Neodiprion lecontei: one gene and its partner. The protein of the gene in region 1 binds, or shares a complex with, the protein of each later gene. Links are inferred from orthologs where the notes say so. Each region holds a gene or a part of one and is shown on either strand. Other genes may lie near its edges. The genes, in order: protein dispatched and sonic hedgehog protein A.

Region 1 (8,912 bases):
AGTATACGGTTTTACGAACGGAATGACAAACACTAAGGTAGTTTACCCGACGTGTAGAAAGCGAAAAAAAAAAGTGGTAATACTGTTAATTTTCCGTGTTGATTTTGCTTTTTTGTGTTCCTACTGGGCCATCGAGATCTAGGTAGTAAATATATAATCAAACAGTTTCACAGTAAATAATTCCTCCACTGATCTATGCCTGGATTGCCGATTTTTGTTACTACTTAAATCTACAAAACTGATAAGCATATACTTATCTAGCAATAAAAGTATGTATGTATAAGTGAATAGTATATACTAGCTGTATAAAAATAATTATGAAATAAATTAAACTCGATGGTTTTTGAGCTTCTCAGAGAGACAATACCTATAATATCCAAGCAATGAAATATAACTGCCAAATATTCTGCACGATGATATTACTACTAATAATACTTTGCGGACCATTCGAGTAAAAATTAAGAAACAAAACGATCACCGGCGTAGAAAATGAGGTGCCAATGGATCATGTCTAAACTAAAAAGTTTGATATGTATGAGATGCATACAATAGTTTAAATTAACACAGCTTTATCGTTATGATATTTACTTGATACACGTTTGTAGGGCTTCTCAAAGCACTGCTATATCACAAATGAAATTTCTCACGAGGTATAAGTTTATTCAGAGAAGGCATAACGCTCTCTTGAAATATCTAAAAAGAGGTAAAATTAAACTAGGATCTGTAAGACGTCACTGTATCAAAGGCAATCGTTATCATCATCACATGCAAATTGTGTTACTTGAATACTGATATAGAATACATTCACCAGTCCTTTGAAAATACATTGTATTATTAAGGTATGAATACCCGTTTCAATATCATATGGCTTGTTACACCGTTTAAATTAGGAACATAAGTGGACTACTTCACAGTGTCGTTTTAAAAGTATTGGCGATTTTCGCAATGACTCGTCACCATAATCTACGAAGTATACGTAACGTCGCAGTAAAATAATATCAATATAGTATACATATATACATACGATCATATAACAACATGTAGTAATAACTCAAGTTATATCATATCTCTGTGCATATGCATGTATATACATAATATACACATATATACACATATATATACACATATATACACACTTGGAAAATTTAACGTTAAGCTGCACCTACATCTCACTTCATAAAAATTTGTTTCAGGCCAAGAATATGTAATTCTTATTATAATTTAAGTCATTCAGATGTTTTCTCTAGAATCCAGTAGTTTTCAGTTGGATTTAAGTTGTCTACAACTTGAGTTTGTATTTTTCACAATGATTCAACTTTCAACCTATTAATAAAATCCCACCTGAATCTACAGTCAGTGTAACAACAATCTTGTTTATATTAATATCCTCAGCCTTGAGATCACGGCCAACAAAGACTCGATACATTAATTATATTTATCCGTTAGGTACATCGATGTTTTATCCGCAACATCTTTACCATCACATACGTATACACAATTAGCATTACACGATACAATCACCAATTTTTTTATCAGCTGTCCATCAATTCGTTCACGACATTGAATCATCAGTAAGCTTTAATACTTTAGGTAGACTCTTATTTACTTACCATTTGAACAGCAGAAGATTGCAGAATTCAGAAAGACACATATACACCTCTTAGTCGAGTTCGTTGTTCGGTTTTCGCTTGTTATTTCTACCTGTCGAGGGACCCGATTGCGAAGGCTCGAGATACAACAGAGTCGAGGATGGAGAAGGTGGCAACGATGAAGATGGCGGTCCTCTCCCAGCAAGGACTTCCAGCTCGCCACAATGAAACTGGCAAACGGTGCTCGACGTGCTAAGTGTAGATTCCGACAGCATCCCTCGGCCTTTTTTGCGCTCCCTTTCCCGTTCACGCTCTCGCTCCCTGTTTTGTTTCCTGGTCTGTTCCTTGGCTTTACGGTTCCCCATGACGCCAGTCGTAGTCTCTTCTGTCTCCTTACGAAACCTTGAACGGAACCAGGATGCCGAAAATCTGGAAAAACATTTTTATCTCCAGAAGATGAAATTCGATAGTACCTCGCACCTTTTCAGATTTCACCGACGAGATTCACGTACCTCGGATACTGGTACTGGGCAAAGCCTTGCGACGGTCCAATTACAGCCAGAATTGGGCAGAGAAATAGGGTAGCGTAAATCCAGCTCACAGTCATTACGACGACGAGAAAAAATCCGATTTGTATGTAAGCCAAGACTTGCGACGGAAGCATAAGTGCGCCAGCAGCTCCACTAGTCACAGCTGCCATGAGCGTTGGTCCTCCCATTTGCTCGAGTGCTGTTTTGACCCGATCAACTCTATCCTCGGAGGTGGAAGCTCTGTAGCTGACGCTATAGTGCAGACTGAAGTCAACCGCGAGACCTGCGTGGAAAGAATTCAGGGTAAAATGGGGAAAAGGAAACTGGCTCCAAAAACGTAATGAGATGATTAAAGTTTTGTTCACCAATTGCTGTGGACACCGCAACACTTTCGAGAACGTTCAACCTCCACCCAGCCAGAATAAGATATGCGACTGTGACAACTATCGCCGCTCCAATTGCAACAATCGCGTACAAACTGACCAGAATATTGAGCGTGACTAGCGCTAGCACCACCAATGCTAAGATCATCGATACTCCCATAGCCCATAGCGTACCCTCGTAAAGAGTTCGTTGAAGTTCGTAAAATTCTAGTCTACTGATGAACCAACCACCTCGCATTCCGGATGGTGCCTTCAGCAGTTGCTCCTTCATCCAGCTTTCAACCTGTGAATAAATAATGATACCAGAATATGAGCGGACAATACTTGTCGTCGCATGTTTCAGTATTTTTCTCTTCTTTTTACTTCTAGTTTGATTAAGCTTTACCTGACGGTAAAACTGATCCATTTCTGTGAATGAGAGACTGTACGTGAAATTGCTGTCGTATTCTATGATCAGGGCCTTGATTTTGGGTTGAGGCCGTTGGGTGTTATTCAAAGTGAGGTGTACGTCTTCTTTGAGGAACTTCAGTCCTGCCGAAGTGGAAGATTCTCCTCCCCAAAGGTAAGAGGGTGTGCGATATAAATCAGCGTTTGCTTCAGCTGCGCAATGTTCCAAGACAGATGGCGAGTAGGGAAAAGTACTGTTCTCGCAGCACGGGGCTCGATCTATTTGCAGATCTATGGGATCCACACAACGCCGCTGCATGAAAGCCTTTAGCGATTCGATAAAGCAGTTTGGGAGTAAGGGACCCAAAGTACTTCGATAAAACGGCTGCATTCTGAGACTACGACAGAATTGCAGCAGCCAGAGCTGCGACTTCCTACTCGACACGTCAAAGGTCTCATCCCATTCCAATGTTCCTCTTGCTCCTGGATCCAAGTAGTTCCCATTATCCACGGGTTTCACTCCCCACACAAATCTCAATGGCAAAACTTCGCCGCCGTCTCCCTGAGGATTGCAATACTGATAGTTAGATAAAACTTGTTGTTAATTTTCAAACAAACTGAAATCATGTCATGATATTTGCTTACCAGTTCTAGCTTTTCAAACCAGAAGCGTTGCGAGAAAACCAAGTCATACTTTTCGAAGAGGTGAGAACTATCGAACAGTTGGAAATCAGGGGAATCTGGCAGCTGTAGGCCTGGATATCGGAAGACAACTAGACTGGCAGCAACAGCTGTGGATCCGCAAATCACTAGCCACAACCATCTGAACTCGATAGCGATTCTGGAAAGTACTTTGCCAAAATCAGTGGCTACTTTGCCAAGGAAAAGCCTGAGGGGGCGGTAGATTTTCCTCACAATGAAATTGGCTGGCGATAATAAGGTGAGGTGACAGTGTTCGGAGACAACAACGCTTGCCGGTAACCAGGTCACCATCAAAAGGAAATTGGCTATCACGGTCATTCCAGAAAATAAACTGAAGCAATTTATGGCCGTAACGTTGCTGACTATAGATGCAAAGAAAGCAACTGCTGTAGTCAGTGAGGTGACCAGCATAGATGGAACGGCATGCTTCATCGTTTCTTGGACCAGACTGACCAGTCCGCCGCCAGTCAATTTCTTCTGCTTCCCGCATTCCCATACTTTGCAATAAATAAAGGCATCGTCGGCCCCAATTCCTGAAAACATTGTGTGTATTTACAATCTGAATGGCTGAAGAATCCCATTTAGGTTACAATATTGCTTGACGTTTGAGATAGAATTCTTACCAACAGCGACAACAATAGCCAGCAAATTCATGAATGGGAAGAAATTTATTCGGAGAACGAGAGTATAAAAGGCGTACGATATGCCCAGACTGAAGAGAACGGCAAGTATGGTTGTTACCGTTAGTATAATTGAGCTGGTATACGCCCATATGCAAACTGTGACGAATGCGAAGCCTGCGAGAAGCAGACAAGAATCTGAAACCAAAAGGCGATCAAAGAGCGTGCTCTTCAGCCCCAGCTGCATTCCCTGTACTTTGAATTTGCCGTAAGTTAATTCATCCTCGTTTAGTCCGCGATAAAAGTCAAGAGTGGCAGAACTGGCAGCCATTGGTAAGAAAAGCATGGCGGAATTTAGAGTTGTGTTCAGTTTAGGTGACGTGGTTCCATTCTGAAAATGAAAGTGAAAGACGCAGTGAAAGATGCCAATAGTAGTGCACTTTCAAGGAAAAGTATACGACGAGACACTTACGTAAGAGGGTATAAACTCGGTATCAAGAAGATAATAGAGTAGATGATACGGAGCATTGTGCAAATAGCAATCGGGGGTCACATGCCTTCGGCAATCGGGGTCGTCAGCGCAGTCTGGAGTAAGCTGAAGGTTGTGATAAAAATGAGCACACCTATTCAGCAAGAGTTTTACTCTGTTCAAATCACTTTCTGTAACACCCAGACAAGAGGTTCTGTTCGACAGTAAAGCCACGTAGTTTGCTGGTGACCAGCTTCGGCAGCATTTTTTTTCTGTATCACCGTGCTGGTTTTGGAGTTGAATTTGACACAAGGCTGGAAATTCGTTGTTGGCGCGAAGCGCAGCGTCAATGTGACACTGAGCCAGTATTCCTTCCAGAGACCATAAGTTCTCGGTACCAGAAACAGATCTGAGGACAATACGAGCATAGGCTGCGGTCGGGGAATTACAAAAGAAACCGTCGCTATCAAAGTGGGCGTGATTCCTTATAGTCTCTGGATTCTCCAAACGGAAACTCTGATTTTCTTTCAACTCCATCAGCTCTGTCCATTTGTCTTTTTTCACACCTTGCTCCTCCGTATCTGTATTTTTTTTATTCTTCCCATATTTTTTACCCTTTCTTTTACCCTTTTTACGATTCTTCTTATCCACAGTTATCTGGGTAGTTGTGTTGTGAGTCATCAAACTAGTTTCATTCTATTAACAAAATAATACTTTGTTACTTCTTCACGTGCATCAATAATAACAATGATAAGATAGTAATAACTTACTAGGCTCATTGATTGCAAAATATGATGATAATATTCCAGAGGGTTTGCAATGAGACTTCCTCGAGGCCTAATTGCTTCTATCAAATTTTGCCATGTTGTTAATCTCGATGCCAAGACTGTTCCTCGAGCTTCGAAACCCTGTGAAGTTTATTATTATGTTAATAAACTAGTATTTACTGAATTTATTGAAATATACCATAATTTCTATGACTTATACTTGACGAAAATTGCACTGCTGACCAGGTAATTTCCCGCGCGATTGATGTTTAAAAAAATGCCGTCTATTTATTAAACTATCAATTCAACCAAAAAAAAAATGAAAATTGGAAATTCGAATTCGTGACCATTGCGAATGAGCATAAAACTAACGATGAAGCACGAAATCCGGCTAGTTACATTCTATAAAATGAAAAAGGTTTAAAGTAAATTATGAAATCTTGAATACATTCATCAATCTATAATATAAGCAATCTAGTAAATACATTATTCATGGTTCAAGAAAAAGTGCATTGAAATTGTAATCATGGGATTCCCCTGTTGCATATGAAAGCTTGGCCACACATATAAATAATCAATGATTATATAAATAATCGTACGCGATGAGATTGATTATTTATCCGGAAAAGAACTTGTTATACTTACTAATTGCGGGTCGGAAAAGTCCGGGAATTTTTTAGTAGTTAACGGGACTATCAAACAAGTTGAAGAGAAGACGAAAACAGCGGCAAGAATAGCGTAGGGATGATAAGCCACGACACGGGAAAACCACCATATTTCCATGATTGTACGTAAGAATATTTCCTTTTGAGTTACGCCTCAAGTTTAATATTATTGTTATTTAGTTTTCTACGCACTATATAATAAAGGGCTAATGGAAAATTGAGCAAATATCGTGTATATGTAGGTACAATACCGATAGCACGCCGTTGAGATTAAGACAATTGAAATTTGGCATCAGTCTGTAATATACGGTTAAAATTTGATTTCTTAATTTTAAATATAACAATTGTTGCGCTCTAGCAGAAAACAAAGCCAACGCAATCTTAATTACAATTAATATCTGGGTTCAGGACATTAGTTAAAACACCGTTCGCGATGTACACTGAGAATTTCCAATAATCGCGACGACCTTTCCAGAGAGGCAGAGATTTGGTAATTTTTATTATCATTGCCGATGCGGTTAATTTTTTGACCGTCAAGACCCCCGAGTTTACATTTGTATTTGAAATTTGGATTATACACTGTATATAGGCGTGGAATGAGTGTTTTGTTTATACTGAAAGAGACCAATAAATTCGAGGTTAAAGCGTCATTTCTACTATTAAGCTACTGTCGGGATTAACGGACGCATGCGCGTTTTTCTCTCTGTTGTCCCGGCTTTTGAGACGCTGGGAGAATTGGGAAAAATCGACACGCGCACTGATGTCCTACAATGCGCAGTAAACCAGGCTACGAAATTGCAAAAATCCACTTCATAACAGTAATAAAGCACTTGAGGTAACGGTAGACAAATTTAATCATTTTTGCGCAACTCGATTATAACAAATACCTTCAACTTTCGTTTGCGCGTTTTTGTATTTACACGTAAACGAAAATAAAATTCGGAATTCTGATACTTCATTATCCGCTGTTTGAATATAGCTTTGCAGCAGTGATCGTTAAAACTCGAAGTTTTTGGTTGCACTTCCATATTAGTTTTATAAAGACTAAATACATTGGAAAGTAAGGTACAGGGTTTGTCGTAAAGGCTATATAACTACAAGTCCGATCTTTATTGAGAAAATTACATTTTACAGGAAACCGAATATTTTGTTTATTTTTACGGTACTATCGGAAAAAATAGACGCAAATACATTGGTTACATTTTGTAGTTCAACCCAAAAAAATTGTGCAGTTTGTTTTTTCGGCTTAGGCGCTGCTGGGCTATAACGTTACGAGCGTGACAATAAAAGATCAGAAATAAATTTAAAACTAAAAATATCAGCGGCCTAAATGATCATATAAAAACAAGCGCGATGCCGTTTCAACTTGAAATCAACTTCAATGGCTGCAACTTGATACTGTAAACGAAAACTATTTGTAATCCTCGTGATTACAACTTAATTTGAACGGTCATCCTGTGGGCAGCAGTACTTATAAATCGGAGAGATTATACTTTTTAGAATTGGTGTGTCATACCCACAATCGTATACGACATATTAGATAGCTCTAGCATCATTATTTGGCATCGAAAAAAATAACATTTTTTCGCTTTGTTATTTGCGTTTCATGATTCCATATGACTAAAATATTCGTGTAATTTCAATACGTTGGCTAGACTGCGAAAACGCGAGTAATGGCGGGTAATAAACAATGGCCATGGGGATAGTGGTGATGGAGAAGGGAATTTAACGGGGAAGTCCCAACGGGAAAGCCATAGCTGCGAGCCGATTGGTGACGCTAGTAGCGTTAGAAAAAAAATATTAGAACAATGATCTGTGTACTCTATAGTTTGCGGCTGTGCGTCATAATTGGAGAAATGCTACTGTCCACCCATCTTGAGATTGTTAATAGTAAATGGAAATAACAACACTGAAGTGGAGATTAATTGATTGTGTGTTCCTTATAGATTTTCATAAATATTTTGAAAATTGAATATTTGTGAACTGGGTTGACAATTAGGGATAAATAGCGATAGTTGAATCAGTGTCAACTGCAGTATGTCAAACCACAATCCTGCTCAGCGCTTATGATCCGACGCCATTTTTTAGTTGGCGGGTATTACCACCAACCACCGATCGCCTGTCCTTTGACTATAATAGTTGGACTAGCAGGGGGTGTGTAACGCGTTAAATATATGGAAAAAAATAATAAAGAAAGAAGGAAGATCGTGTGCGCGCAGCGCGGGGCGATGATAAGAACCAATTTGCTTTCGAAACCTCGCAAAGACCTATAAAGTGTGGGGGAAAAACCGGAGCAAAACAAAACACTCTCTATATAGAGGAGGCTAACCGTTGATATAGCGACAGCTTGGAACACAAAGGTAATATATGTGCATACTTGACTACTAACTGACACTTGGTCATACTTCGATGGAAACGTTATCCTCGAAGCTCTAGTTTCAAACGAGAAAAGTGAATATTTTTTCCCTGACGTCAGCATCGCGATAACGTTAATCCATTTGTAATTTGCGTCTAAATTGTTTGACTTGGAACATCCTAACGGTTGTTTATCTTTTCCTGCAAATCCACGCAGGTTATTATTTTCGATATTTACTTATGGCAAATACATCGCTAGATATGACCAGGCAAATAGAGCACAGCTTTTGAACATTGCAATCAATTGTTGATCATGCATACCAAGCTTCTATGAGAGCTTCAGAAACTGCAAAACCCGCTTTCTACTTTTTCAACATGACCCGAATGATTAAAATTTGTCACATTTGACCAAATCCTCTGAAATTATTTCCAACATGTGAAACGT
Region 2 (6,386 bases), on another chromosome or scaffold:
GTGCTTCACCTCTTCTTCTCACATCTTATCCCTGTTTCAGTCAATGTCCAAATTGTCAGGCTCACTTATGGTTGAGAATGGAATGTCGTTTCGCACCAGCAGGTACAATTAGAACTTAGAACAGGTCGAGAGCTTTCGGCAGGTCGCGTGGTGACGTTGACCTGTTCAACTAAAGAATTCCCCGTTTATCCAGTTTCCCCGAAGTTCCGCACGTAAATCATCGCCTGTGTAAGCATCTGCCCTTCTCTCCACCCACGGAATATGCACAGCTGTATACTAAAGCGCAGGGTCTGCGGTAGAGAACGCCTGTATGTAGAAGCCTGGTCTAAATCACTAGATCAAACAAGGCGAGGATCGTGTAAAAACCCGCCTTGACCGCCAACGTATTTCCGTAATTTTTTCCTCTCGCTCTTTCGATTTTTCAATATCAAACGCCTTTCGCAATAACATCTTCACCGCTTGGGTTTATGTAGAATACTTACTTAACACCAATCTGGCACTGGAAAAAGAACAGAGTACCCGTGTCAAAGATTCACCGAAATCTGAATAGCACTTAATATCAACTCGGTAGGTAGACGGATTTTTCCATCTGTAAAAATCTATCCAACGTCTGATAAATATACCGTTTTGCACGTTATAGAATATCATCTGCACAAGCTGTGCAAATTCCAAAACGAACTTGAAAGAGTTACGCTCCGAACTACGAGACGGATATATTCGCGGAAACTGTGGCCAACATTGCCGACAGTATTATACATTACACAACTGTCATCCGCAGATCGGTTAAGAATCGGTTGTGACCTAGAAAGGAAAGTCCTCTTTCACACAGTTCTGGGAAAGTCCATTTTTCCTGATCTCGAATCATGAGGTAACAGTGGCATCACTGCCCCTGACGACGACACACCAAACGGAGACCCTGACCATAACGTTTTGCTGATAAGATATTGCGACGCGAAGGATGTAGGAAGCATGAGAAGCCAACAGTCCATTCGGTGAAACATATGCCCGATGCCCAGGTAGATACGCACGTTGAACGCACCTCGGGTAGAGGCACGTGTGAGGATGGAGTGGACTTGCAATATACCAGTTATCGTAGAAGTGATAGAGCTGCAAGGAAATGCGGCATGTGGGTGTGTTGTGTACACACTGTGCCTGCACACCAAATACGCTACATGACTGGACACGGTTAGAGGGATAAATCGTGGGTAATGGAACGGTGTTTATTATCAGTAAGCCCAAGAAACTAGCAACGCTCACGGCGCGGTTAGCAAGGCTAGGAGCTATCAGAGGCATCAGTAGCTTTCCGGCTGCCATCGGTGGCGCACAGCACTTCTCTGCTTAAACGACCAGTTGAAAAGCCCGCCGATTTACAATACAAGGCGAATCACCCACCTGAAACGTTCGTTGTTCCTACGGTTAATTCCTCGTGTTCAGAGCATATATTTTAGGGTGTAATAGGTTATTAATTGTACCCAAAAATACACATCGTTGTGCGGCAGGTAATCGGATCAACTCTTGAATGGAACTGCAGACTTCATGCCTGTACCGTTCAAACTATGTACATGATTTGCTGATTCTTTTTTTGATTTCATCCTAAGGTCAGTCAATCGACGGTCCAATTTTTTTACAAGATCGGAATACTTCAGACGAGCACTTCTTGTTTACACAGAAGATAGCCAACTGCTTGCTATGCACAGAGTTATGATAAGCAGTAAAATATTGCGTAACTGCATCGTTTCTCGCTAATGGTATCATTTCGTCATTTCGGAGAGAGTGCAAAGCTTAGAAAGAATGCTTATGAAGTATTAGATACAGGTATGCCTGACGTAATATCGTTAACTGTGAAACAATTTACAGTAAAAACCAAATCCAACTAATCAGTGTTCAGAACAAGTCTATGTGCAGGATGAAGTCGACATGATAGAACATTCGAATTAATCGCTGCATCGAAAACGACTGACGTTGAACGAGAAATAAAACCGAAAACGAGAAGTTAAAAAGGAACGATCGAAAAGTGTCGGTGACAGAAGGATATGAGAGGTGGAGGTGAGGGTGTTAAGGTAAGGGCCAAAGGGTCCGGAACGACTTCACTCAGCTGTTCCCGAGAGATAACTCCGGCAACAAACGGTCGGTGGAGAAGACATCCTCGGCGAAGATAGCCAGTGCTTCCTTTCAGAGGTTGAAAGTATCCGACGCAGTTCGGTTTCTCGGGGGGTTGAGACTCAGACTTGGCGAGTCGTTGAGCGGGAAGGAGCCGCGTTCGGTTTGGACCGGGTTGAGGATTGTCAGGGAGAGAAGCGGAGAGGAGAGAGAGAGAGAGAGAAAGAGGGAGCGATACGCCGATAACCCGGACGACACACGGGACTCTGGAGGCGGACGGACCGAGGAGAGCGATCTCTGTATGAGCGGAGGGACCGTGCGGCCGGCGCGAACCAGGAGAGGAGAGAGGACCGTTCCTCGGTGTGTATTCCTGTTGTACACCTGTCCTCGTTTACCTGGCTCGCCCCGCCCCGGCCAATCGTGGAGCAAACCGCGGGCGTGACGTCACACCTGGCGATCGCTCAGGGCGGGTGGAAGGGGGAAGTCCACCAGGAGTCAGCGACGTCGCCGGTCTCCGGCGGGCGGCAGGGTGGGGGAGGAGGCGAGAACCCGGTTTGGTCCGTCCGTGGCACCCAGGGAACACCAAACGCACCACGGGACATTTCCCACCACGGTTCGTCGGGAAAGCGGCAGTCAATCCAGGACCCCAGATCCACGTTGTCACAGTTTTGACAGTTGTCGGGCTGTTCGATACGCACCACGATTACAAATTCACGACGTGCGCCAACCGCCAACTTGCGAACACCCGTTGAATCCATAACGTCAGTTACACGTTAACGAAATTGCACGATGTTCGTCCACCCGGTTAAAGCTCGGAAATAATTATTATTCGCGAATTTTCCTTGTCCTTACATACCGCTTGTAATAACCGATCCGAGCCGATATAACGTACCGATTCACGGCGCGAATCTGGCACTTACGGCCTGGATCGATAATTACTGTATACATACCGAGACACATCGACTTAAGGGAAAACTCAGAGTAAAGAATTAAGAAGACCGCAGTTAATTGTCGGTAAAAGTGCCGTGTGATTGATCGATCTCGGGCCTTGTAGTATCCGCCTCGATTTCCGTATCTTGCGCGCGAATTTCAGCGGAGCAACCCGCGAACTGGATAAATGGCAGGCGATCGGTTCGTGACGACGTAGTCGGTACCGAACGCGGTGCAGAGAAGCAGACGTGATTTATCGTTACAGTGACAGGTGTGACCACAGTGTTATTCTGGTAAACGGTGTGCCCTCCCGCTTCCGGATCCACCGTCGTTCGCCACCCCTTGGTGCCAATCGGCGAACGCGGTGACAGTTCGCGGTGACCCGGTTGCCGGTTGCTCAATTCGCGACGTCCACGAGGCGCAGGGTGTGATGCCCTGGTTATGGCTACTACGCAGTGAGGCGAGACGAAAGAGGCGGACTGGGTCGGGATCGCACCGAAGCTGGGTCACACCAACGACGGACTGACCCTATCGCACTGGGTCGGGAAGATATTATGGTGAACGCTAAGATCGCGAGGACAAGATTCGAGCTGCGGTGGATATTGGTGTGCTTGGTACTGCTATCGTTCTGGCTTCCTTCCTTGGGCACCGGCCTCGCCGAGGGCTGCGGCCCCGGAAGGGGTAGCAACCGACGGATACGTCCCCGGAAGTTGACGCCGCTTGTATTTAAACAACATGTGCCAAACGTCAGTGAGAACACTTTGCCCGCCAGTGGACTTAGCGAGGGTCGCGTGTCCAGACACGACACCAGATTTCGCGACCTGGTGCCCAACTACAACCAGGACATAATCTTCAAGGACGAGGAAGGCACTGGTGCCGATCGCCTCATGACTCAGGTGAATATTCAAACCGATTTACCCATATCCGTGTCGAATTGTAAACGGTGCGATATACGGTTGGACCTGCAGCTGTAACGTGTAATCGTCGTTGCAACCACGGCATCCGGGCACACGTGGTCGGTCTCGGCGACGTCAAATCCGTCGCGTCAACCGGTAGATAGATAATTCCTGGCCGCTGTTTGGTGTACTCGCGTCATTGCAAAGATATAATTTCATATTAATGTATATGTGTCTAAGCATCGGTAGTTACGAGGAACAGCGTTCTGTAGAGCATATTATAACGTCGTATGTTTTCTTTCTTCCGCAAAAGGCATCATGGTTATCGTCGTAGTGCGGGTGAACGTTGACCGGCGCCGGGCGCGTATCTTCGATGCAACGATACTAGGCAAATATTAACCATTCTTGCACGTAATACATAGCACTTAAAAATTCACACTTGACTCGAGGTAAACCCCCTTACTTGTAGTTGTAAATGGTTTAAAATTCACTCGAACACTAATTGCGCTTGTACACACGACAGAAAGGATTCGCTGAAACAGCAGGAAAGGTGTTAATATCATGGCGATAAAAGTTTTTTCCTCTATTAGCAAGAATTATGTAGTTCCAGTTAAAAGTTGTTTGATCAGTTGGAGGAATTACCTGCACTTGTAAAACATTCGCTAATACAGCTAAAAGTAATTTGCTATCCGTACAGCGAGAAGTCTTAGTTTCCGTGCTAAAGGTTATACTTGGAAATTTATTGCTTTTAAATATTTATCCCGGTACAAATAATGATCAAGCGCTTAGGCTGTAAAACTTTCGAAACGGTGAGGCTGTACTTACCAAGAAATTGCGTAGTTTGTAATTTCTTGGTCTATCCGTCACTGTCGTATATTGATAAAAATATTACGGAATATGACATATTTTCGCAACGTTAATAGAATCCGCAAACACGGAAGACTGCAACCTGCGTCGCGAGATGTCTGACACATCGCTGAGATATCACTGTGTATACATAATGCTCACGATAGGTGACGTATGAATTTTTTTTCACCGGCGCAGACGGATGCTTAGATTTCATATGTGCTAATAAGAAGCGACGCTGCACAGTCCTAGGGCAATGTGGATTGAGTTAACCTAGTCGAAGTTGTCTAGCTGGGTCGACGTAAGCCTGAGGCCCAACTTAAATTTTTATACGAGTTAAGAGAACGGCGAAGATCGCACGCTAAGCGAGGAATAAATGGGGGAAAAACTATACCGAGTCCCTAAGTGATTGTGGAAAGGTTTATGGTAGCCATAACCAGTGTTTCATTTGACGCCTTGACGCTTCTCCAATTATACGGTAGATAAATTCACCAACCTCGTACTTTTCTCGATTTCGATCGTGTCACGAAGACCCTATCCTAGTCCAAATAGCGTCGCGAGACCGCCGCGTTTTGTATCTCGTAATTGACTTCAAGCCTCTTCCCTCGACCCTTTGAGGATCGGCACTCAGTTCCAATGAATCGAACATTCCAGCTTGGTCTCGATGAACAATCCTCACTTCTCACCGCATCGAAGCAACCTTCTCGCTTGCCCTTCGGGCTTCAATCAATGTATGGATTGATATGGATCTGATGTTGTAGCAAGGATTGAACCCCACGACGAGCATTGATGCTAGAAAGTGTCGTTAAGTGGTTGTCACTTGCTTGTGAGAAGTGACATCGCTTAAGATCGCAGTGTCTTTTTAGTCGGAACTTGAGTCCAACAATAAGCTTCCGATTTCGATGCGAGTGCGTCATTATCGTGCAAAATTGCAGTTAGGTGAACCGGATGACGCAACCTCTCGAAAATTCTTTGTCACGGTGCGCAAGTTATGGTTCTTTAATAGCGAGTCGACCATTTCACCCTGACCGTCCTCGAGTCTCTCCGCTTCGTATGCTGAGATGATATCGAATGTGTCATCGTTGCTTGGACGGTGTTGGGTGTCGCTTATCGCTTGACTCTTGTTGCCACATGGTTTGATACAATTACTAGACGCCACTTGTACTGGAGACACTCGGTTACGACTATGTCAGACTTTGCCACCGCACTTTACCCGTCAACTCGACGTTTCGCCAACGACATCTACGCAACCTTCGCACCCGTGAGATGAGATTTAAACGCATTCAGCACAGTTTCAAATCAAGGACCTACGAAGTCTTATCGATTCCCCCAATTTTTTCAATCGATTTACTTTCAACGCTCAAATTTTGGCCGAATGACTTTTTGCCCAAAGTGACGTTTCGTTCAAGTGCATTTGTTAGGTATACCTATGGAATTCGAAAAGACATGTTGCGGATTTGCCAAGAAAATAATCACAATATCGATCAATATAAAAAATATTTATATAAAAAGTACGCTGTATTATTCGAATGTACACTCTTGGCGCACAGTGCACAATGTACTCGATGTTACGTTTCAATTTGTGTTTATTACGATGCAGGTATTCTAAATACA

What was found.
Region 2: the proteins of protein dispatched (region 1) and sonic hedgehog protein A are in contact, whole or in part, in a cryo-EM structure (PDB 6TD6), measured with the Drosophila melanogaster proteins. The link is inferred for Neodiprion lecontei from reciprocal best matches to the Drosophila melanogaster genes disp and hh. Residues at the interface, in NP_524734.2 of Drosophila melanogaster: His77, His78, Arg250, Tyr253, Glu296, Ala404, Gln405, Ser406, Asn407, Arg408, Gly434, Asn755; in NP_001034065.1 of Drosophila melanogaster: Tyr100, Pro101, Val103, Leu104, Lys105, Gln106, Thr107, Asn110, Leu111, Ser117, Glu164, Lys165, Val168, Ala228, Gly229.

Annotation. Positions count from the first base shown.
Region 1 is NC_060264.1:34,405,410-34,414,321, forward strand, and holds protein dispatched, read right to left. Parts: upstream 6,806-8,912; 5' UTR 6,231-6,805; coding exon 6,093-6,230; intron 5,589-6,092; coding exon 5,451-5,588; intron 5,377-5,450; coding exon 4,684-5,376; intron 4,603-4,683; coding exon 4,215-4,602; intron 4,125-4,214; coding exon 3,535-4,124; intron 3,452-3,534; coding exon 2,888-3,451; intron 2,786-2,887; coding exon 2,485-2,785; intron 2,403-2,484; coding exon 2,102-2,402; intron 2,019-2,101; coding exon 1,661-2,018; 3' UTR 553-1,660; downstream 1-552. UniProt on the Drosophila melanogaster protein: Segment polarity protein which functions in hedgehog (Hh) signaling.
Region 2 is NC_060262.1:29,607,895-29,614,280, forward strand, and holds the start of sonic hedgehog protein A, read left to right. Parts: upstream 1-2,609; 5' UTR 2,610-3,584; coding exon 3,585-3,926; intron 3,927-6,386.